Struthio camelus: one gene and its partners. The protein of the gene in region 3 purifies or fractionates together with the protein of the main gene of each other region. This does not show direct contact. Links are inferred from orthologs where the notes say so. Each region holds a gene or a part of one and is shown on either strand. Other genes may lie near its edges.

Region 1 (7,845 bases), on a different chromosome or scaffold from region 3:
ACTGTTAGAAAAAACAGAACTTTAAAGTCTTTGGTAAATACTAGTTTTGTTGGTGTCAGCCTTAGCAGCATGAGAAGCGATCAAAGAAAAATAAATGCCAATACAGTATGGGAAAACTTTGTTAGATGGAGACTAAGTTTCCTTTTGAATTTGGTATATTTTTTAAGTACTTAAGAATGCTATTCAGCCTGCAATAGTGTCATGTCAGCGTGCTGGGGAATCAACACAGTGGGAAGATGTTATCAACACTCAGAATGGAAGTATGAAGACAGAAAGTTACCTTTAAATTACAAAGATGCATGTACAGCTACAACATTTCTGGAGTGCTTACGTAATTAGAAAAATGACCCAACTGCACCATTACATCTGTGGGACAGAAATGACAAGAAACTCTCTTCTTTAATGAAACAACTCTCTCGGATGAAACAGGAATGTCAGCTTCAGTGTGTACTCCACTGACTGGAACAGGATCAAGTCTCAACTAAGTTCCACACAGTGTTTTCAGGGAAAAAGTGGAGGATGTTTTATGGAATTTAAGTCTGGATTTGGCTAGCATCCTAGAACATACATCTTGTTATGAAAACTGCTGAAGCACTTTTAAGTGGGCAAGCCACAAGTGTCCTTGGAGCTACCCATTCAACTGGAAGCCGCACAGGCGAAGCCTTCTAAAGTAGATGGGATGGAGGGAGGTGGGAAGCAAGGGTGGGGAAATAATCTTGGAAGTATATCTGTTATAGAGAACTGTTCACTTGTGCCTACAGCATGAAGTAGTTACAACTTGTTTCTTGTTATTGTCACAGATCCAATATGTTACTCTGGCTAAATCATAATCTCTTCCTGCCTCAGTTCATCCATGTGTAAACCTGGTTCACTACCTCTTACCTTAATGTGTCACGAGGCTTAATTAATAACACTTAGGTCTTTTAAGCCCTCTACAAACATTAACTACTTCTTGTAACAACTCTCTGAGGTATTATTATCCCCATTTTATTGATGGAGAAATGGCAAAAGCGGCTGTGACTTGCCCATGGCAACGCAGTAATAGCTATACTTGGAGATCCTCTTCATGGATTGTAACAGTGCGAACAACTTCCATCGAGGAAGGCATATTCAACAAACACAATCTCAAAATTACTTCTGAAAGTGAACCACAAGCAACTGGAGGACTACCAAAAAAAAAAAAAACCCTACAAGAAAACACAGGCTGGGGACCGTCTTCACAGAGGAGAAAACGTTCTGGGCAGGTCTAGCTTCACCCAAACGCTTAGGAAGAAACAACACGAGCTGCTCCTAACTATGGTTAAAGCCCAGCCGCAGGCTTGCGCCGCGCTCCTCCTCAACAGAAAGCGAGCGGACAACCAGCGTGGCATGCAACAAGCTGCTGCCGGGCGCAGCCTTCCCAAGCGCTGACAGGAAACGCCGACAAGCAGCCCCGGAGGGTGGTGGTCCTGCACCTGAGGCGCCGGCGGACAAAGTTGGCCTCGTCCCGTTTCCCCACCCCCGGGGCCCGGCCGGAGGGGCCCGCGGCGGGCGGCCGCGACACGGGCTCGCACGCAGCTACGCCGCCTCCCCCCCCCCCCCTCCGCCCCACCACCACCACAACAACCGGCCGGGACGGCGCGGGGGGCGCCGCGGCTGCGGAGGCGCCCCGCAGGCCTGGGCCTGGAGGGCGGGGCGGGGCGGGGGGTGTCAGCGCGGCGCTGACAGCCTCGCCGCCCGCCCGCCCGCCTCGCCCGGGGGCAGCGGGCCCGCCCCGCCAGGGTTGAACCCCCCCCCCCCCCAATCCTCCTCCTCCTCTTCTCCCCGCGCTCCGGCCGCGGCGGGGCGGCCTCCGCCGTGGCGGAGGGGCAGCGACTCGGCGGGCAGGAGCGGCGCGGCAGGGCAGGGCGGGCCGGCCGGAGGGGGCTGCCCGCGCCGCGGCAACCGGCCGCCCCTGCCTTCTCCCACCTGATCCCCGGCTGGGACCCCGCGCTGGCCGAGCCGCCGCCGCCGCCGCCGCCTCGCTTACCTGCGGGCGCCGGGGTGCCGAGCAGGCGGGCCCCGGTGTCCGGCGGCCGGGCCGCGCCGAGCCGAGCCGGGCTGGGCCGGGCCGGGCGGGCGCCGCTGTGTTTACACCGCCGCCGGGGCTCGGCGCTCCGCAGCCGCTCAGCAGCCAGTCGCCATTTCCCGCCTACCGACCTGCTACACCGCACGGAGGGACCCGGATGGGGAGAGGGGCCGCCGCGCAGGCGCAGCCCGGCCGGGGGAGGGGGACTGGGGACGGCGGCGCCGGGGCAGGCCGGGAAGGAGGGAAGCGGGGCCTCGCGCGGGTGGCGGCGGCGGCGGCGGGCCGGGCTGTTCGGCGTCGGGGCAGCGGGACGGGCCGGGAGGCAGCGCCGGGGGCGAGAGTTCCTCACGCGGAGGAGGCGCCGCGCCGGCCCCGGCGAGGCGAGGCGAGGCGAGGCGAGGTGAGGTGAGGTGAGGGGACCCCGCCGCGCCACACGGCCGGCTGAGGTGAGGCGAGGCGCGGCGCGGCCGCAGCGGCGCGGGCCCCCGGCCGTTAGCGGCCTTTATTTACGTGCCGTGCGGCTGACGGAGGGCCCGCCGCGGCCCCGCTCGCAGCTCCTGCCGGGCCGCCCGCCAGCGGGGCGCCGCCGTGCCCACCCTCGGGGACCGGGGGAACTGGGGGGGGGAGCCGCGGAGGGGGTGTGGGGCGGGGAGCCGGGCGGGAGTAGCGTTTTCTGCCCTCCCTGAGGAGGAAGCGGCGAAGCGGCTGGACGGGGCGGCCGCGCCCTGGTGCCGCCGGGGCTGTGGGGGCCGCGTCCCCCCCCCCCCCCCCCCGGCCGCCCTCTCGCTCGGCCTGCGCCGTGTGGCAGCGCTCGGTTTATGCCGGTTTTACCTTCTTTTCCACCCCGTAAGGCAGCGGTAGTTTTGCGGTGTGCGTTGCTGTGTGGAGGCACCTGTGGATTCTAGCGTAAAGTTTTACTTCCACTTTTTTTTTTTCCCCCTTCCTTCTTTCTTTTTAGGCAGTTTCTCGCGGTGTTAAGTGTTGGAGGTGTTGCAGGTTTTGGCGCTTGAAGGGCTTAATGAAGCAGCTCGAACGTCTCACGCAGGGAAGCGTAAGAGGACGCGTAGTAAGTTTAGATGCCCGGTTTACATGCTACTAAACTTGTTTATCTGATGTTTCTTCCTGTTTGTGATCCGTTCGTCCTCTAAATTTTGTAGAAAAACCTCATTTTCTGAGATGAATGTGTTTTCTGACATTGAGACAACTTCTCTCTCAGCAGCTTTTATCTGCATTTATCTGCACTTCTCTGCACTAGAAGCCCCCATGTGTATTGCAAGTTTTTCTCTTCTAATAACTATTGACCCGCTTTTTAAATTTTAATCCAGGGTCCTATTAGAAAAGACCCAGCTCTCTAGGCACTTAAAGTATTTATTGACTTGTTAAACTGAACCACATCTGCTGCCATCGTTTGTTTTAGAATTGTGTCATAGGGTTCTAGCATTCTTTGGCAGAAGACATTATAACATTAATTTTGCCCTAGTTTCTTAAGGGAAGAGGTAATAAAAAAGATAGTGGAAGTAGTGTAGCCCTCATTCAGAACAGGGAGCCTTATTCCTTTAGTGTACTAAATAAAATACTGAAGTATTTCTAGACTCGCTAATTCAGCATAGTAGTTGAATATTTTTTGTATGGTCAGCTGTGAAAAAGGTTAGCTTGGGCATGTTAAAATTTAATTAAGATCGTTTGTCAGTCCATTAAGAAGAACTAGTGTGGCAAGATGACTTTGTGATGTCTCATAATACAAGCCTAAGAGGACATTCAATGATATTTAAAAAGTGGGAGTTTAAAAAAAAAAAAAAAAAGTAGGTAGAAATATTTTTTCAGCCAGTGTGCAATTAAAATGAAACTAACTGCCAGAGAAAATCATTCAGGCTCAAAACCAGGATTCAAAGCAAGCAGATATTTGTATCAATACCAAAATTTTCTAGTGCTTTTATAAAGAAAGCCAAAAACCATTTAGAAGACATACTAGCTCATATGACTCAGGGCTCAAACTAATCTGAGTGGGAACGAGAACTGTGCTTTTCTGGACTGCAGTTTACTTAAATATGTCTTTGCAGGGGTCTTGGGCCATTCTCAGATTACCTGGTTCTGAGGGCTGTCTGAGAAAGGATTTTTGGGCCAGAAGGATTGTGAGATTTGCCATATGTCAGATGGGAATAAATATAAAGTCATATTGTTAATTGACAGTGCTGTGAAGGCAAAAATTCAAGTGTACATCTACTGTAACTGTTCCCAAGATTATAATTTATACCAGGAAAAGAACATTAGTTCTCTGTGGGTAAAATACAAAAATACTAAATAATGCTATGTCTGCATGTGTATACATCAGGCATTAGAAGACTAGAGTGTGCGCTAAGTTCACAGAAAAGGCAGCAACTGTATTGGCAGCAACTGTTTTTTTTTTTTTTTCCTTGATGGTGGATTTCAGGGCTTCCATCAGGTAGAGATATTCTAGGTGCGTGTTTTCTTCAGTTTGTAGAGAAACTGAAGGAAAGAAACTATACAGTTGCTAGCAGCGTTGCACATATTTGGAATGTTATACTCTGCGAATGATCATTTGAAAAGTAATTCTTCATATGTTATGATTTTCCCCTAACTTTCTGCCTTTTTGAAGTCTTGGTGATCCGTTAGCTTTGTGTTTACGTGCTCATTTAAAATGACTTATTTTAGAGTGACTTCCTTATTCGTTGTACAGATTAAGGGTTGGTGAGTCTACCAGCTTCTCTTCATAAGCAGTTTCAAATGGCTGCAGTTACGGAGTCATATTTTATTTCACATTTGAGTTTAACTTCCAGCTCTTGTGTCTAACGCTTCTCAGCAAGAATCAAAAGTCATGCACTGCTGGAGTTCTTCTTTCATGTGTTAGGACCTACATGCAGTGATCAGGTCACCTCAGATTTCCATTTCATAAGCTGAAGACGGTGCATTCTTAAGTCTTGCCTGCTGGGCTTTGTTTTCTGGGGAGAGGGCTTTATTCCCTGGTTAGCTGGGGGGGGGGGGGGGCTTTCTTTAATTTCTGTCCAGTATTTCAACATCCTTCTTTACTTGTTGATTTCAGCTGTTACACAGAGCATGGCAATTTAATGTTATTTACTTCACCAAAGGGAAAATACTGTGATTTGACGATGAGAGAAAGTTGTTGTGTAAACCAAACGGTTCTTATTTGGGTTTAAAATGTTCAGATTACCTATTTGCAGCATTTGTTGTTTTTCTTGCTTATCTGAACAAAAAATGTGTTTATTAGGTAAATGGAATTGTGCACTTGAGTTAAATGAAAAACAGCTACCAGGCTATACTTGCTCCTTTGTGCCTAGATGTCTGTGATCCAATCTGTCTGCTCAGGAACAGCTACAGACTTACTCTTTTGACTGCTTGTACTTCAACTAACAGGGACTGGAATTCATATGGTACTGTTATTCTCATACAGAAGCAAAGCAAGCACGAATTTAAATGAACTTACACATACATCTGATCTAGCATAGCGCATCTTTGAAGAATTTACAGTCATGAAACAATCCCCTGTGGATGAAAATGTACAACCAGAAGTGATCGAGTCTAGTTTTAGGTAGTTAAATTGCAGAGTGCCCATACTAGCAATCCCATTGCTGCTATGTGGGAAGAGTTTAATACGAGTTGAGGAATTAAGAGTGTTCTGCTTTCTGTATCAGTATGAAGTTCTTGCATAACAGCATAACCTTGTTTCTAGCTGGCTAGAAGATTCCAGTGCATTCTCATAAATAGATGTATATATCCCCCTTCCCCTCCTTAACAAAAAAAAAAAAACAGTGTTATTCTATCGAAATAGTATGCTTAAGCATACCACGCTGAAGCGTACCGTGCTCCAAGCATCTCACCTGCCATGAGGCTCTTTCCCCTTTGGCTTTCTCCTCCTTTCCTTCCTCCATATCAATTGGAAAGTCTTTATCAATTTGAAAGTTCTGGTTACTGCAGAATGCTGCACTATTTCTCCACAGTGATAAAAATTATTGGAAGCACCAGATCTCACTTCTTTTTAGTTTCTTTTAGCAAAATTTTTGATCATATTAAATGTTTTAGACGTACCCCTTAGAGTGCTATACCTTGGATTCCAGAGTATTTAAAGTGCTGCCTGTATCCTGGGATAAAGATGGCAATTGACAGCTCTCTTTCTGGCATGGTGAAATTGCCCATAATATGGGTGAAGCTCAAAGTTGTCAGATAGAGGGTATCTTGAGAGGCTGGTGCTGAACAGACTCTGCTAAGAATGAGGACCTTGCAGACCTTCCTGCCCTTTTTCTTTGAGTAAAATAACATTTTTGATTTGGCTGTTCTCCATTATGGAAACAAAATAGCGGTATTAAATATATTTATATAAACGTAAACCTTATATGATAGGAAGACATTCCATTGCATATACTTCTTCCCCTTGTGAGAATGTACAGCTTCTGTTTGACAGCTGTTAATCAGTTTCCTTGGTTCGTTGCTGTAAAGGCTGAGATAATAGAGTAATCAACAGATTCTAGGGACAAGATCTGAATTACTTTTTTCAGTGACGAATTCACGGTATGAGATAGGCTCCTTTGAGGATTTGCAACCAAACCTGATTCAGTCCATGTTTCGAACGTGCTTAAACAATGGATTGATTGTACTAATAACTTCATTGTTGCTATTTGAGAAACAAATTTTCAGGAAATAAAACGTCAGATGAGTTCAGGTTAAATTTGGGCTTTTCTTGTGGCATATGAAAGTTGAAGAAGTCTTTTTTTTTTTTCATGGTGTGCTTGAATGTAGGCAAAGATATAAATTCTTTAGTAGCTGTACTTGGGAAGGAGTGGACTTGCAGAGTGGAAGTTGAGGTCTGCACATACCACAAGTGTACACACAGGTATATTTGTTCAGGCAAATCCACAAGAGTCTGAAAGGAGAAGTAAATGGATATGTGTGCGTGAAAGTTGAGGGAGTGTCTAATTAGTAGTTGTATCATAAAGTGGCAGATAAGGACCTGGCTCCTCTTCCTCTTTTAGCATTGGTTATGTCTTTGGCAGATCATAAACTGTGTTTGTGAAGGGGCAGGGGAAGTTGAATGTAGTATTTTGTTACAGAGTTTTCAAAAATTGGTTATTTATGCAGAGGGTCGATTGCATGTTTTAATATTAAAATGAAGCCAAAGTAGATGATAACCTGTGTAAAGTCTAGTCAACCTTGTGCATTGCCCAGGCAAATCATATGCTGTGAGTCGCTGAAAACAGTTAATCTACTGCAGTATACTTGCTTACAAGAGATCTCTTCTGCAGGCTTTGGATTTTTCTCTGTTTATGAGTTTCTCTGTATGAAAATGTAAAGTGCTAAAGTTAAATAAAACACATAACATTAGTTATTTAGTACTTGTTTTCCTAACTTGACACTTTAGTCTTCAGAAAATATTTAGTCAGAGTTCTCTTTGCAGCTATTAAAACTTTGAGAAATTTGGTTGTCTTTCATTTGTTTCATATATAGCCAGTTCTTACTTTTCAGGAAAAAAACCAAACAAACTGACTGTAGTATCTTAGTAACATTTAAACTGTAATAGGCTCTTGAGTGAGTCTTAGTTTTTGTGGTTTCCGCATAACTTTGAGAAAGCTGTGGCAAAGCCACTCTTTAGAGAACCTATGCAATTGAGTAGTTGGGAATAACAGGAAAGAACTGAGTTCTCTCTTTCACTGTAAGTTCACTGTAAGTGCCTGTATTTCTTGTATTTGTAGTAGAAATCATCCTTCAGTCTTGGCAGCAAGGTCTTCAGCTTGCTATTCTTTGTTTTCTTTCTGTATGTTACAGAG
Region 2 (7,362 bases), on a different chromosome or scaffold from region 3:
GCAGATTACCAGAACGACTAAATACAACCGCTGCAGCCCCCGGTGCAGCTCCACGCGAGGAGCCTGGCCTGGGCTGCTGGCAGGGTGCGGAGCTGCTCGGCGCTGGAGGTGAGCTCCCTTTGTGGCACCCAGCTCTGCGTGGGGCAATGCTGCTGCTCGCCCGCTGCCCCGCTCTCGGTGTTGTGCTTGGGCTGCCCGCGTGTCTGAGGGTGCGGAGAGGGAAACGGCAAGAGGAGAGAGGGAAAAATCACTGCTTCCTTAGCTGCAACGTGACTTAGCCTCTGCAGGCCCTGCCAACTTTGCAGTCCCTCTGAGCGCTGCCTCCTCTGTGCCGTTGGTCCCCTTGCTGGCTGTTGCTGGGGCAGCTCCTTTGTGCCAGCTCCAGCCTGGTGCTGGGAAAGTTTAGGGACTGCAAGCTGCTTTTCCTGCTCCTTTCTGTGCGTCTGTGCACTTAATTTCCTGTCTAATACTGACCCCCAGTGTCTGGGAGCCAGGAGGTCTAAGAAGCCCTGGAGATGTGTCCCTGAGTGGGCAGCCTGGCTGCCAGCATGGGAGCCCCAGGGACATGCCAGTGTGCGGCTGGGTGCTGCAGGGCCTGGCTTGTGCTGATGGACGCAGCATGAGCAGAGGCTGCAGCTCCTATTCCCCTTCTCCTGGCGAAGGTAACTGAGCCCTGCTCTGCTCTGGGTGAGAAGTTGCTTTGCAGTTTGTTCATCTCTTCTCTGTAACCTTGGGCAGGCTGTTTCCCACACCCCAACTGCCCTTCTGTGAACAGGGAACTGCAGCAATAATTCCCTATCCCACAAAACAGGGGAAGTCGCCGATCATGAAGTGCTCAGGTCCTTGGGTGGCTGCTGCCAGCATAAATAGTCTAGGGTTAGATACTTGGATACTTGCTCTCTCTCTTAGAGCTAACTGCGGGAAATCTGCCCCAAATCTGCATTGTAGCACTTATCTCTGCACCCACTTAGGCCAATGCTGTGCCCAGTTTTGGCTCTCGGAATAGTTAAACAGGGAACAAAACAAAAGCGACTTTTGAGATGTAATTTACACCATAATCCTTGCGACAAAATGTTCTGAAAAAGAAAAACGTGGTGGAAAGAGACTGCTTGCTTACATAACTGTAGTTAAAGCAACTATTAAACTAAGGCAGAAGGAAGTTCTGTGAGTCGCTATTCTGCTTTTTAGTGGCAACACCAGTTGTCATAGTCCATGTAATCAAACTGGTTCCTGGAGCAATGGTAATGATTTTGGCTCAGTGGGATGTCTTGTGCAGGGAGAGATTTACTTATGTTTCATGGAATGCTCTAAAAAGCAGCCCTGCCCAAACCAATTAAAGCCTTTGGAAGGGTATGAAACCTTGGGCAAATCAGCTGCCCTGAATTCGTTGGGTAGCATTTGTAGAGTGCTTTGGAAAGGATTATTGTTATGTAAATGCTAGAGATTGTGATGAAAACTGGCCATTTTGTATAAATAGCGTGGAGGATCTTGTTGCCACCAACCTGTTCCCAGGCAGGAGCTGGTCTCTCTGGCTGTATCCCTCCCAGGGAGGTCAGTGAGAGCAGCTCTTCAGTCAGACATGTATTCTGACCATCCCACTTGAGACCAAGTCTCTGTTGTGCAGATCTCCCTTAAGGTTTTGCATTAAGGTAATGGATTTCATAATTTCTCTTTGTTCTCTTTCTTACAAAGCCTATGCACTTCATTCAGTTGTATTAATTTCTTCAGATACCTGCACCCCACATTTGTTCCTTGGTGACATTAGAAATAAATCTAAACCAAGACATTTGGGTTTTTTCATGTGGCAGTTAAAATTTCCTGATATATCATAAATTCCCTGTTACTTGCATGTCAGGACTCTCTGGTTTCTGATATGAATAATGAAACACTGCCTCAGATCTGAGTGGGGCAAAGATATTCAAGATAGTAATTTTTCAGACAGTGATGGCAGACGTCAGAGGTGTGTTTGGGTTGCAGACCCCTCGGCATGTTCAGCTCTAGCTGAGGTATCAGCTCATCAGAAATTCTGCTGGGAGACCGCATCTAGGAAGGAAACCCAAAATTTGTGGTTCAATATTCGCTGTCCTTAACCGAGTTGGCATGACAACGTCAGTGTGGTGTGACTGGCTAGAACTGCAGCTAAAAGGCTGTCTTCTACAGCTGAGCTAACGTCTAGCTCGTATTGCTGGAGCTTGCTCTGCCAAAGCAGCACAGAAAGTGGCAGGTAGACAGGATGCGGTACCACGGGCTAGACAGGGGGCCAAGCGCTTGATGCTACTTATTAGACTGTAGATATTCTTTCTGCTCTTTCCCCAGGTGTGTTAATGAAAAAAGTCGCCGTAACTAAAAATAGTTTTTTTCCAATGCATGAAAAGACCAGTCAGTGCTCCTGCTGGATTATTGTTTAGCTTGATAGATCACTCATTCAACAGCTAACAGCCATTATTTTTACAGGCAACGTTATTTTTTTTGGCTGCTGTCTCTAACATGTCACTAATGTTTAGCCAAATGAACTCAGAGGATTATAACAGACAGGGATGCTGGGGAAAGTGACAGGCACAGAGAAAAGTGCTGCAAGAAGCTAATTTACACATTCAGCTTCACAGCCTGAACCTTCCTTCCTGCTCAATAAGCTCATCAGCTGTTTCTTCATAGCTGCTAGCCAGCTTTCAGAGAAACGAGGGAGCTCACAAAATCTTCCTCTTTGCCTGCCTGCCTGCTTAGACACAACAGATCCTAATAAAAAACACTGTTTAATATTGTTGAAAATAAGTCCTCTTTTACATGGAAATGTGAATTTAATATAAATAGTTGGTGCTGCTCTGCTTCTGATTGAAGTCGCTGTGTAGCCTTTCAAATCACTCGGGAGACGCTGGCTGTTGATGAAACGTGGCCTAATCTCAGAGGGGATCTCTGTTCTCGCTTGCCTCTCCTGGGGTGCTTTCTGCACTCCATGATGGATGTTTTCTCAGAAAGGGGTCAGTGATATTTCAGAAAAAGCAGTAACATCTGCAGTTGCAAAATCACTGCTGGTTCTCCATGAAGTAGGGTTATCGTGGGAGAGAGAATGGAGTGACCATAATGCAGTAGCTTTGCAAAGGAGCCCAGACTTTCTGCCTTTGTCCGTGCAAGGTGTTTAGTTCCTGCGTAGTGCCTGCGGCCACAGTGCACAATCTCAGGCGCTCGTGGCGGCATACCCCTCGCACAAAGCTTGCCCACGCTGCAGTCATGGCAGGGGCAGCCCCTGCAGGGGTACGTGACCCGGCTCGCTAGCTCGGGTACCGACAGTCGCTTGGCTACCTTTGTGCTGGGGCTGCTTCCAGCTCAGGCATCGCTGCCCGCGTTGCTCTAATAAGCACGTCAATTTTGCTAAGCAGCATGAAGAATGAGAAACAGTGTTATGGAAACAATATATAAAATTCCAATTCTCCAAAATTAGATTTTTCTTACAATTTTCAGTTCATGGGGAAATTAAAACAACAAAGTTCTTTTCTAGCAGCAGAAATGCTGCTTTTTTTCCGCCAGTTCCAGTCCCTTTCTGTTTATGAGACAGTATAAGTTTTCACTGTGTAATAAAAACAATCATCTGTATTCCTTGGCTGCAAGCAACAATACTGTGAGAGAGTGGAGCAAGTCACGATGCTTTTGGAGAATATGAATTATCTCCACCACAGAACAAAGCACAGAAGGACCCTTGAGCACTGTGTGAAATTGCAGAACAACATATCAGGCCTGTCTCTGAACCTCTGCAGTTTAACTGGGAGACTTCCTGCTTTTGAGAAGAAATTTCGCCTTTGAATATCCTCCAAGGTCGCCGGGCCCATTTATTTCTGAAGTTCAAACTGTTGCTCGTGTTTTTTAAGGCCAGGAGGCACGGGCAAGGATTTTTGCCGGCGCAGTTCAGTTGAGGAGCGTAGGTATCATCTTCAAACCACCGGAATTGTGGCACAGCTCCAAAACGAGCAGAACATTACCGGCCTGCCCCGAGGAACGGGCTCCCCCACCCGTGGCGCGTGGGGACGCGCGCAAGTCCCCACGGCGCGGGTGACGACGTGCTCGAGCCCGGGCGTCTTGCTGCTTGGCGACACGGAAATTCGTCCGCGGGCGTCGAGAGCCCTGGAAGTTACAGAGGGATTTCGGTTGCTAGCAGGATTTGTTCCCCGAGGGCTGCAGCAGTGAACCGGCGGCCGTATCCGCGTAGCGAGTCCCTCGCTGCGCATCTTCCGGGAGGAAGCCGCAGCGGGAGGCGGCAGGCCTGCAACGTTCAGAGCCCAGAACCAGCTTTGGCCTCTGCGCTCCCTCCGGGCAGCTGCCCCTCGGGGAGAGCCTGCAAGCAAGCTCCTGCCTTCGCTCTTCTCTGGGCGGCAGCGGCTGTAACGGGGCCTCGCCGCCATCACAGGACCAGGCCGGCCGCCCCGGCAGAGCCTCGCGGCCCCGCTGCCAGGCCCGCGCCCTCCCCAAGATGGCGCCAGCGGCCGCGCGCCCTCCCCAAGATGGCGGCGGGCGGCGCGGCGGCGAGGAGGCCGGGGCGGCGTGTGGGGCCGGTCGGCGCCGGCCGCGGCCCCATGAAGAGCCGCAAGGAGCGGGGCGGTCCCGCGGCGGCGGCCCGGACGGTGAGCCTGGTAGGAGAGGGCCGGGGCCGAGGCGGGGGCGGGCTGCGGCGTGGCGCCGCCGTGCTCAGCAGCACCGTGATCGATTTGCCTGGAGGGTTTAAGTGAATTTTAAACTTTAAAACAAAAAAAAAGAGGTACGGGAGACGCATTCACCTGCCTGGGGCCGGGTTTTGGATGGGTTACTCGCTGCTGAGCTGGCTGTGCCACGGCTGGCGGCCTCGCCGCGTCCCCGTGAGAGCGCGAGAAGGCCGCTAGCCGCGTGCTGCCTTGGTTCGTGCTCGGGGCAGAGGTTTTTCTGCTGGTGATGAACCAGTCCACAGCGTGCAGTTCACCTGAGGCGCTCCTCGCTCCCTTTGTTTCCCTTGTTACCTGCGCTTCCTAATAGTTATTTGTCTTAGTGAGGTAGCTTAGGCGCTGGCTGCTGCTCCTTTCGGTCTCGTGGCGAGCCTAGCAACTAGTGCCGCTGGGTGGTTTTCTCTTTTTTAAATCCTTTATTTACTTGAAGTAAGCTGTAGGGCCTTGTCTTGTCTTTTTTTTTTTTTTTTTTGCGACAGCCTTGCCCACGCAAAGCCACTGACACCCGGCCCTCAAAGAGGCTAAAAGGCGAGAAAAGCGGTCTAGTGAAATCGGCGCGAGCAGGACGCGCAGGTGGGAGCGGGACGCGGGCTGCGCGGAGGGAAGCACCTAGCAGCTCGGCCGAGGGTCGGCGCTCGGGAGACGCCGGAGACGGCGACGCAACGCGGCGGACAGCAGGGCAAAGCGTTGCAGAGACGAGGGCGGAGGGACAGGGAAAGGAAGGCGACCTTTCCCCGAAGCCCTCTGCGGTGGATTCGAGCAGCGCCCCGTCAGAAGCGGGAAGCGCTGAAGATCTGCAAAACTGTGCCTGCCGCGTCGGAGAGGAAAGCAGCTGCGAGAGCGTGCTTTCGGGTGAGTCCGGCTTGGAGGACAGAGGTGCCCCGAAGACACCAGTACAGCGCGATGATAGTGCTTTCTTAGACGAAGACAGTAACCAACCAATGCCAGTGGACCGATTCTTTGGAAACGTTGAGTTTATACAGGTGAGATGATGAAAGTCTGTTTACTGCTCACAGACTGGGTTCTGTTCTGCTCCTGCCTTGTGTCTCCAAACGCCAGTAGTCTAGCCTCAAAATTTTTGGCAAACTTGACCGATATTGGTAGTCATCTGGAGAAGTGTCCCTGTCTTCTAGATAGAAAGACTGACCTCAGTCAGAGATGAAATTACTTGTCTGGCCGAGTCTATGTCAGAAGTAAAGACTTTCCTGTTCGGATTTTATTATTCCAGTTCCATAGGATAAATACTTTTACTCATAAAGATACAGATAGCTGCACTATGGAGAAAGTTTTTTTTTTTTTTTTAATGAGGTAGTTTTTCACTGCTCACTGGTTCTTAATTGTGGTTACTTTACTTCTTTGGAATAGAAACTGGTTTCTGACCAGCTCTGCTTTTGGACTGATCAAGGGACAGAATTATAAATTCAAATCCCAGGTCCTGCCTTTAACATACTGTAACTTTGGACAAGTGATGCTTTCTTTTTTCCTGGTGTTTAGCGAGGACTGGTATTTAACGTGGATAGGGAGGATTTGTTTGTAGAGCGCTTAACCCTTTCTGAATCCCTTTCTAAAAGCTTAGAAGGAATGCCAGCCCTCACTTTGACCGTGAGCCAGCACTGCCTTATAGCAGGCTCCCTTCAGAGCTCTTAGGCTTTTATTTAAGGTTTATGCAGATGCCATCACTTCTAAGAGGTCTGTATTAATACCTCATGTATGAGGCGTAGGGGAACGGGAAGCACTGGACATGTAGGAAGTGTGCTATTTGCAGCAATTGGTTTTTCTTAAGTTTTTATCCTTTTTCTTAAAGGACCTCCCAGCAGTTGCACTTGCAAGCACAACAATGAGCAGACGAGAATTTAGAAAGCTGCATTTCATTGCAAAGGAAGATGAGGAGGAGGAAGAGGATGTCCTCTAACCACAAAATGTAAAACAAACAAAACTATTTTTTTAAGGATTTTACGCCACTGTATTGGCTAGTGAAAGGTAATGGTTGGCTATGTCACTGACATGATTTGTTTTGTATTTGCCTTTTCTCAGAGGGAGAACTGGTAAAGTTTTTCTGTGAGCTCGTTAGATACTGTACTCTCCTCTGGTTATCTGGGGGGGGGGGGAACAGAGTTTGGCTGAACTTTTAGTGAATTGGAATAAATTGTATTTTATCATTTTACCACTAATGCTTTTCATTTATTAAAAAAAAGTCTATTGGTCTATTTGGTCTAGTGTGCTGTACATTTGAGCCAACACCTCCAGGAAACAGTTGGCCTGTTCTCCCTCCTCTTTAAAAGTAAGCAAGCAATCCTAGAACACAGCTGGATAGTCCTTTTCCTTTTAATTCTGTGATGTTTACCATTTTGGCATCTGGTTATTAATAGATCAAGTAGACTACCCAGTACAAGGAGCGATACCAGCCTCTGTTCCTTAAGTTTAGTGTTGCGTTTTTTACTTGTAAAATGAAAGCAATTCAGACCTTTAAAACGCAGTTTTGCTGGCAAAACTAAACGCACGTATGTCAACGTGAGTTCCATGGCTTTGGTCTCAAGATGGTAAATATATTCTTATTGCATGTCAGTTTTATGAACAACCACCATGTGAATCCCATGGCTTCTCTCTTCCATCAAATCAGCCACAAAAATTGCCCTTTTAAATGTTTGTGTAATGCAAGTTGTGCAATGTTGTC
Region 3 (7,593 bases):
ACGATTTCCTTTGGGCAGGGAGGCAGGGAGGTGGAATTGCTCCTGTCCCTGCAGCAGAGGCATCTTCTTCGTTTCTATTTGTGCCGCAGGTTCCCTGAACCAGGCGAGAGGGTCCTCGGCCGAGGCCCGGCAGGCGTGGGGTGCTGGCAGGGTCCCCTCGGGAAAGGAGCTCCAAGTGAGCCCACCCACCAGCCGGTTTAATTAATATTCATCTGCCGCTTCCTAATGGGAAACTGTCTCTGAGTCACGCTGACATTTCCCTGGGACAATGGTAATTAAGCACCTGGGTGAGAGAGAAATGTGCAGTAATAGAAAAGTTAAGTTTTCTTAACTACATCAGTGAAAAGCTGATGAGGAGAGGAGGGGGACTAGCGCAAGTACCAGGCGGGCGCAAAAGCAGGTGGGAGTTAATGGCAGACACCGTCACGCAGCGCCTGTCACGGCGGGGCCGGCTGTGCCCGGAGCCCCGGCAGCCCCCGGCAGCCCCCGGCAGCCCCCGGCAGCCCCCGGCAGCCCGGCCCTCGAGGCCCGCATTGGCCTCGGAGCGGAGAGCGGCTCCGTTGGCCCTGCCGGCGTCTGCAGAGCATCGTCCAGCGCGGGCAAGGTGGGAGCCAGCAGGAGGGAGAGGGGAAGGGAAGGAACTCCCCAGCCAGCCTGCACCCATGTTTCGGAGGGGCGAGCTCGCTGGCCGCCCCGAGCAGCGGGTGCGCGACCCGGCGCCGCTGCGAGCGCGGTCCGGTGCCCCGGCAGGCAGTGCCCGCGGGAAGCAGCCCGCCTGCGGTGCGTGGAGCAATTCCCATCGCGCCCGGTCAGCTCCCCGCTATTCAGGCGTACGGCGTTTTTCCAGAAAGGGCTGGTATTAAATCGCTTGCTCACCCTCGTGGCCCTGAAACGGCCGCAGGCTGCGCGGGCTGCCCCAGGGAGGAGGCGGCCAGGCGCGAACCGCGCTCCCGGGAGAGCCGGCGCGCGGGGCGATGCCCGCTCCCCAGCATCGCCCCCGCGGGGAGCGGGCTGGGCGCCGCGGGGGGAGCTCGGCTCCTGCCTGCCGGCGGCCGCGCAGCCCAGGGGCACGCGCGTGGGCACGCGGCGGCGCGACCGGGGCGCACAAAGACACGGGCAGCGAGCACAAGTGGCCACTCGACGCCGTTGCAGAAAGCGGCGCCCGAGCAAACAACGGGCGTCGCGCAGCAACGCGCGGGGCTGCCCCCGGCCGAGGACCCCCTCTCCTCCCAGCCCAGGCGGTGAAGTGGCTCCACTGAAAAGCAAATCGAGCTTTAAAAACTTGCAGAGGATCGCCGGCAGCCCCGCTCGCTGCGCGCGGGCAGGCAGCCAGCCGCGCGGCCGCTGCGCTCCCCGCCAGCGCGCCCCAGCCCAGGCTCTCGGCTGCACCCCGGCCGGCTGCCGGCGGCACCAGGCAGCGTCTTCCGTGCAAACGGCTTTGGGACGAGACCCAAAGCCGAGCGCTCCCTGGCAATCCGCGGGGATAATACAGGTCGCCTTGCAGGGAGAGAATGAGATAAGAAAGTTTATTTTCCGAATGTTAGGCGGAGGAGAGGCTTTTCCTGGCATGCACGCGCCGCCGCTCAGGGCACCTCGTTTCCCCTCCTGCGCCAGCCTGGCGGCAGGGACCGGGCGGCCGCGCGGGGCCCGGCCGGCGCAGGGTCTCCGCGCCGGCAGCGCGATGCTCTGGGCAGCGCGGAGGGGCCGCGGCTGCTGCCTGGCGCGTGCTCTCAACACGGGCCTGGCAAGTGAGTCAAGCAAAGAGCGATTTGCAGAGCTCCTCCGTAAACTCGCTCTGCAGACGCTCTCCTTGACCGCCTGCAAAGTGCCTCTAACGTCACCTGCGCCGAGCGAGGCAAAGCGGGCAGAGAAGAGGCTCGGAAAAAAACAGCTGGAACAAAACAGGCGGTTTTCGTGGCAGGAAAACGACCCTGCGGGAACAGACGTGCGTCCTTCTGTACAAGCAGCCCCCCCGGAGCGGCGCGCTGCCGGCAAGCGGGCCAAGGCCGCGGCACCGGCTTAGCGCTGCTGCTCGCACCGCGCACGCGGGGCTGCGCGTGGCCGCGGGGGCTGCCGGAGAGGGGCCGCGACGCCCACGCGCTGCTCCCCGGGACGAGGCGCCCCGGCCGGTCCCGGCCCCGCCGCGGTGCTTGCTGCGACGGGGCGCCATCGCCGTTTCTCCCGGCGCGGCACAGCCAAGCGCCGGCGGGCTGGGTGGCATGGTGGAGCCCCGGTCCCGGCGGTGCGCGATGCGCACGTGCACGGGGTAAATGAACCCACCACCGCACGCTGCTCGAGCCGGGGGGTGCCTGGAGGTGGAAACGGCCAGGCGGAGCGGGAGTAACGCGGAGCGGAGCCACGGCATGGCCCCACCGCCGGGACCGGCCGGCCAGCACGACCGCACGCTCGGGAAGCCCCTGGATGGCGGGAGAGAGCAGGGCAAGAGGGCTCCAGCCGGGCGCGGGGACCCCTGGGGACAGTGCTCGTCCTCACCCGGTTTTTAGCTTCCCTAAAACCTCTGGCCCCCGAGGGCAGCGAGGCTTCAGCCCCAGCGTTTCAGTGACTTTCTAGGGGGGCTTTTGCTGGAAATCGCCTGCAGCAATACCCCAGGGAGCTGGGTCTGGGGAGGGGGCTTCACCAGGGCTGGGGCCCCGCAGCACCTGGCTAAGCTGCAGAAGCCCCTTTGCACTGCACAAGCTGCTGCACCCCCTCCTTGCACTACATGTCCCCCCACAACTGCACCTCCCCTTGCACTGCACCGATCCCCGTGCACTGCACAGCCTGCTGCACGCACAGCCCCCTCTGCTCCACTGACCCCCCTTTGCAATGCGCAGACCCCCCCTGCACTGCACGCTCCCCCTGGTGCATCCAGCATCCCCTTGCACTGCTTCCCCTCTCCCCTGCGCACTGACCACCTCCTTGCACCGCCTCCAGTGCACCGATCCCAGCCCTTAGCACTGCATGGTCACCCTGCCAGTGCATTGACACCCCCCCGCAACTGAACAGGCTCCCAGTGCACCCCCTACAATGCACCACCACGGCACAGCTTCCCACTCCCTTACACTGCACCCCCCTCTCCAGGGCACCAACACCCCCCCTCCTTAGTGCACTGATCAAAACTGCACCGCCTCCCTGGGGCACCTGCCCCCCGCCATGCGCTGTAATACCCCGGTGTGCCCTCCTTTTACGCTGCACGGCCCCAGTGTACTCCTCTTTTGCACTGCACAGCCCCAGTACATGCCCCCTTTGCACTGCATGGCCCAGAGCACCCCCCCTTTGCACTACACTGCCCTGGTGCACCCTCCTTTGCACAGCACGGCCCCGGAGAACCCTCTTTTGCATTGCACAGCCCTGGAGCACACCCCCCCCTTTGCACGGCATGCCCCCCAAGCACCCCCCTTTGCATTGCACAATCCTGGAGGAACCCCCCCTTCTTTGCACTGCACAGCCCAGAACACCCCCCTTAGCATGGCACAGTCCCAGAGCACCCCCCCCTTTGCACCACATGGCCTCCGAGCACCCCCTTTGCATTGCACGGCTCCAGAGCACCCCCTTTGCATGGCATGGCCCTTGAGCACCCCCCTCTTTGCACCGCACAGCCCCGAGCACCCCCCTTTGCATTGCACAGCCCGGAGCACTCCCCCTTTGCATTGCACGGCCCCCGAGCACCCCCCCCTTTGCATTGCACAGTCCGGAACACCCCCCTTTGCATTGCATGGCCCCCGAGCACCCCCCCTTTGCATTGCACAGCCCGGAGCACCCCCCCTTTGCATTGCACGGCCCCCGAGCACCCCCCCCTTTGCATTGCACAGTCCGGAACACCCCCCTTTGCATTGCACGGCCCCCGAGCACCCCCCCCTTTGCATTGCACAGCCCCCGAGCACCCCCCCTTTGCATTGTAGGGCCCTCAAGCACCCCCCCTTTGCACGGCACGGCCCCCGAGCACCCCCCTTTGCACGGCCCCCGAGCACCCCCCTTTGCATTACACGGCCCGGCCGCCGGCCCCCTCCCCCGCCGGTGCGGCGCGGACAGCCCCTTCCCCCCCTCCCCCCCCCGCCGTTACATAAGGGGTTACGTCAGGGCGCGCGGGCCCCGCTTATCCCCGCGCCGCCGCTGCCGCCACAGCAGCAGCAGCAGCGCCCGGCCCGCGCCGCAGGTGAGGCCCGGCCCGGCCCGGCCCGGCCCGGCGGCGGCCGCCGCGCTGCATGGCGTGTGCGCAGCCCGCCGGGGCGCGGCGGCGCGGCGAGCCGGCCCCCCGCGGCCCGCAGGCACCGTGGCGGCGCGGCGGGGGCGGCGGCGCTGGCGGGCGGCGGCGGCGGCGGCGGCCGGGCCCCCCCCGCGGGGGGCGGCACCACCACCGCCGCCGCCCCCCCGCTCCGCGCGCGGCGTGGGCCCGCCCGCCCCGCCGCCATTGGCCGAGCGCTTAAAGGGGCAGGCAGGGCGCGCTTTTCCGCCCTCCGACACGGCGGCGCGTGCCCCCCGGCCGGCTCCGGCAGAGCGGCAGCAGCGGCGGCGGCGGCCCCCAGCGCGGGGGCATGCGCAGGGCGCGGCGGCGGCGGCAGGCGCGCGGCCCCCCCGCGCCGGCGGCGCCATGGAGACGGCGGACGGCGGCCGCCGCGGGACACAAAGAGCGGAGCGGCGGCGGGCGGCGCGGCGGGCCCCCATGGCGGCGGCGGGGCCCGGCGGCGGCGGCGGCGGGGCGCCGCGGTACAGCCTGCTGGCGGAGATCGGCCGCGGCGCCTACGGCGTGGTGTACGAGGCGGTGTCGGGGCGCAGCGGCGCGCGGCTGGCGGTGAAGCGCATCCGCTGCGACGCGCCCGAGAACGTGGAGCTGGCGCTGGCCGAGTTCTGGGCGCTGACGAGCCTGCGGCGGCAGCACCCCAACGTGGTGCGCTTCGAGGAGTGCGTGCTGCAGCGCCACGGCCTCGGCCAGCGCATGAGCCACGGCAACAAGCGCAGCCAGCTCTACCTCCGCCTCGTGGAGACCTCGCTCAAAGGTACCCGGCACCCCCCCTCCCCACCTCCCCCCCGGGACACCCCCCCTCCTCCCTGAGGGGGACCCCCCCCCTCCCCACCTCCCCCCCGGGACACCCCCCCTCCTCCCTGAGGGGGACCCCCCCCGGAGACACCTCCCCCCGGGACACCCCCCCTTCTCCCCCCGAGGGGGACCCCTCCCCCTGGAGACACCTCCCCCCGGGACACCCCCCCTCCTCCCTGAGGGGGACCCCCCCCGGAGACACCTCCCCCCCGGGACACCCCCCCTCCTCCCTGAGGGGGACCCCCCCCGGAGACACCTCCCCCCGGGACACCCCCCCTCCTCCCTGAGGGGGACCCCCCTCGGAGACACCTCCCCCCAGGACACCCTCCCCCTGAGGGGGACCCCCCCTGGAGACACCTCCCCCAGGACACCCCCCCTCCTCCCCGAGGGGGACCCCCCCCGGAGACACCTCCCCCAGGACACCCCCCTTCCTCCCTGAGGGGGACCCCCCCCGGAGACACCTCCCCCCCGGGACACCCCCCCTCCTCCCTGAGGGGGACCCCCCCCGGAGACACCTCCCCTGGGACACCCTCCCTCCTCCCCGAGGGGGACCCCCTTGGAGACACCCCACCCAGATGGGGGACCCCCCAGCACATCTCCACTCTCTCCCTGGGGGGGACCCATGGAACCCCCCTGGAGACACCTCCCACTGGGACACCTCCCTTCCCCTCCCAAGGGGGACCCCCTTGGAGACACCCTCCCTAAGGGGCACCCCCTGGCACACCCCTGCTCTCCCCCCAGGACCCCCTTGGAGACACCTCCCCCTGGCACCCCCCCTCCCCCTGGGGGGGACCCTCAGGACCCCCCTGGAGACACCACCTCCTCCCCCCCCAAGGGGCACCCCCCGGCACACCTCCCCCTCACCCTCAGGGGGATCCCCCTGGAGACATCTCCCCCTGAGGGAACCCCACCCCCCTGAGAGAGACCCCTCTGGAGACCCCCCCAATGTCCCCCCCCGAGGGGGACCACTGGGAGGCACCCCCTTCCAGGACACCATCCCTGAGGGGGCCCCCTGGAGACCCATCTCAGACATCCCCCCCAAGGGGGTCCTTCTGTGGACAGCCACCCTGGGACATTGCACCCCAAAGGGGACCCCCTGGGAGGCCCCCCCCGGGCACTTCTTCTAGAGACCCCTGCTGACTCAGCACCCCTCTGAGGGGGTTCCACCCTAGGGGCCCTCCCCAGGACATCCTCTGTTGGGGTCCCCCCAGGTCACCCCTTGAACACCCCACCCAGAACACCCTCCCCCCAGAGGATCCCTCCCTGGAACCCTCCCCCCCCTCCCCCGGACTCTCCTCCGGGGGGGGTCCTTCCCTGGGGACCCCCGAGACATCCCTCCTCTGCAGGAGGTCCCTTTCTGGGACACACACACGCACCCTGGTCCCCATCCCCCCCCCCAGCACACTTTCTTCACCCTCCCCCACAGCAGCCAGGCTGTCATTACCCCAGCCCACCTCCCCTTCACCCCAGGGATCCCCCCCATGGCACCTGGTGCTGCTGTCACCCCAGGGTGCTCCCCCTTACCCCAACATTCTGGTGCTGCCATCATTCTGGGGTGCCCCCCCCCCCCCCCCCCACCAGGGCACCCCGGTTGCCCTCCCTTGGGCACCTTGGCCCCTTCCCGGGCACTCCAGCATCGCTTTCCCCGGATACCCCTGCCAGGGCACTCTGCCATCACCCCTGGAGCACCCCGGCACCCTTCTGGGGGATGCCACCATCATCCTCCCCAGGGTTGTCCACCCCGGCGCACCCTCCACCATGCCTCCCTGCCAGCCCAGCACCCTGGCGCTGCCATCTCCCTCGCATCCCCTGGGGACCGTCCCCTGCCCCAGGTAACCTTGGGGATACCTGTGCAGGGCACCCTGGTATTGTTCCCCCCCTTCTCCCAGGGCACCCTCAGCACCACGTAATTCCTAGGACCCCCCTTCCTGGCATCGCTCGCCCACCAGTGCTGCCACCCCAGCCTCACCCTGTCCCAGCATCGCCCCTTGCTTAACCTCCTTCTTGGTAGCATCTGCTCTGGGGAGACCCCCTGCTGCACCCCTGCTCCCCCCATCGTCACCCCCACCCTTGTTATTCCTTAGCAGCCCCCCTGGGGTCCCTCTGCTGCACCCTTGGTGCCCCCAGTCTCACCTCCGCCTCACCCCTGCCCACCCGGGGTCCCTCTGCCCTCAGCAAGACCTGCCCCAGGCGTCCCCAGCACTGCTCCCGTCGCCCACCTACGTCCTGTCTCTGCTATGCTCTTCCCCTGCCCGCAGCACCCTCTTTGCTGTCACCCACCCCTGGCACTCCATGGGACCCCAGTGTCACCATCCCTGTGCCTACTCCCCCCTTTCAGGACCCCCAGCCCTGGCTTCTCTCCCCATGCACACCCTGCCCAGTGTCACCTTCCCCCAGCTCCTGTCCCTTGGGCTTTGCCTGAGTCCCTGCTCCCAGGGACACCCCTCCCTGAGCGCCCCCCCCCCCAGCCTGGTTCCTGCCTCAGTGCCCCTTTGCTGTACCTCTCTCCAGCACCTCTGTAACCCTGTGCCCTGCTCGTAGGGTCCCTGCCCCTC

Evidence for each region.
Region 1: the proteins of STK35 (region 3) and CTDSPL2 purify together in Homo sapiens (affinity purification with mass spectrometry; 3 studies listed by BioGRID and IntAct, counting the BioPlex papers as one, with this or other methods). This does not show direct contact. The link is inferred for Struthio camelus from reciprocal best matches to the Homo sapiens genes STK35 and CTDSPL2.
Region 2: the proteins of STK35 (region 3) and C21H1orf174 purify together in Homo sapiens (affinity purification with mass spectrometry; 3 studies listed by BioGRID and IntAct, counting the BioPlex papers as one, with this or other methods). This does not show direct contact. The link is inferred for Struthio camelus from reciprocal best matches to the Homo sapiens genes STK35 and C1orf174.

The regions. Positions count from the first base shown.
Region 1 is NC_090953.1:1,134,266-1,142,110, reverse strand, and holds the start of CTDSPL2 (CTD small phosphatase-like protein 2), read right to left. Parts: upstream 3,011-7,845; 5' UTR 2,879-3,010; intron 2,443-2,878; exon of another isoform or gene 2,244-2,442; intron 2,224-2,243; exon of another isoform or gene 2,009-2,223; intron 1-2,008. UniProt on the Homo sapiens protein: Probable phosphatase.
Region 2 is NC_090962.1:1,311,169-1,318,530, forward strand, and holds C21H1orf174 (UPF0688 protein C1orf174 homolog), read left to right. Parts: upstream 1-4,522; 5' UTR 4,523-4,565; coding exon 4,566-4,622; intron 4,623-5,167; coding exon 5,168-5,671; intron 5,672-6,492; coding exon 6,493-6,600; 3' UTR 6,601-6,852; downstream 6,853-7,362.
Region 3 is NC_090959.1:18,139,833-18,147,425, reverse strand, and holds the start of STK35 (serine/threonine-protein kinase 35), read left to right. Parts: upstream 1-4,576; 5' UTR 4,577-4,591; coding exon 4,592-4,997; intron 4,998-7,593.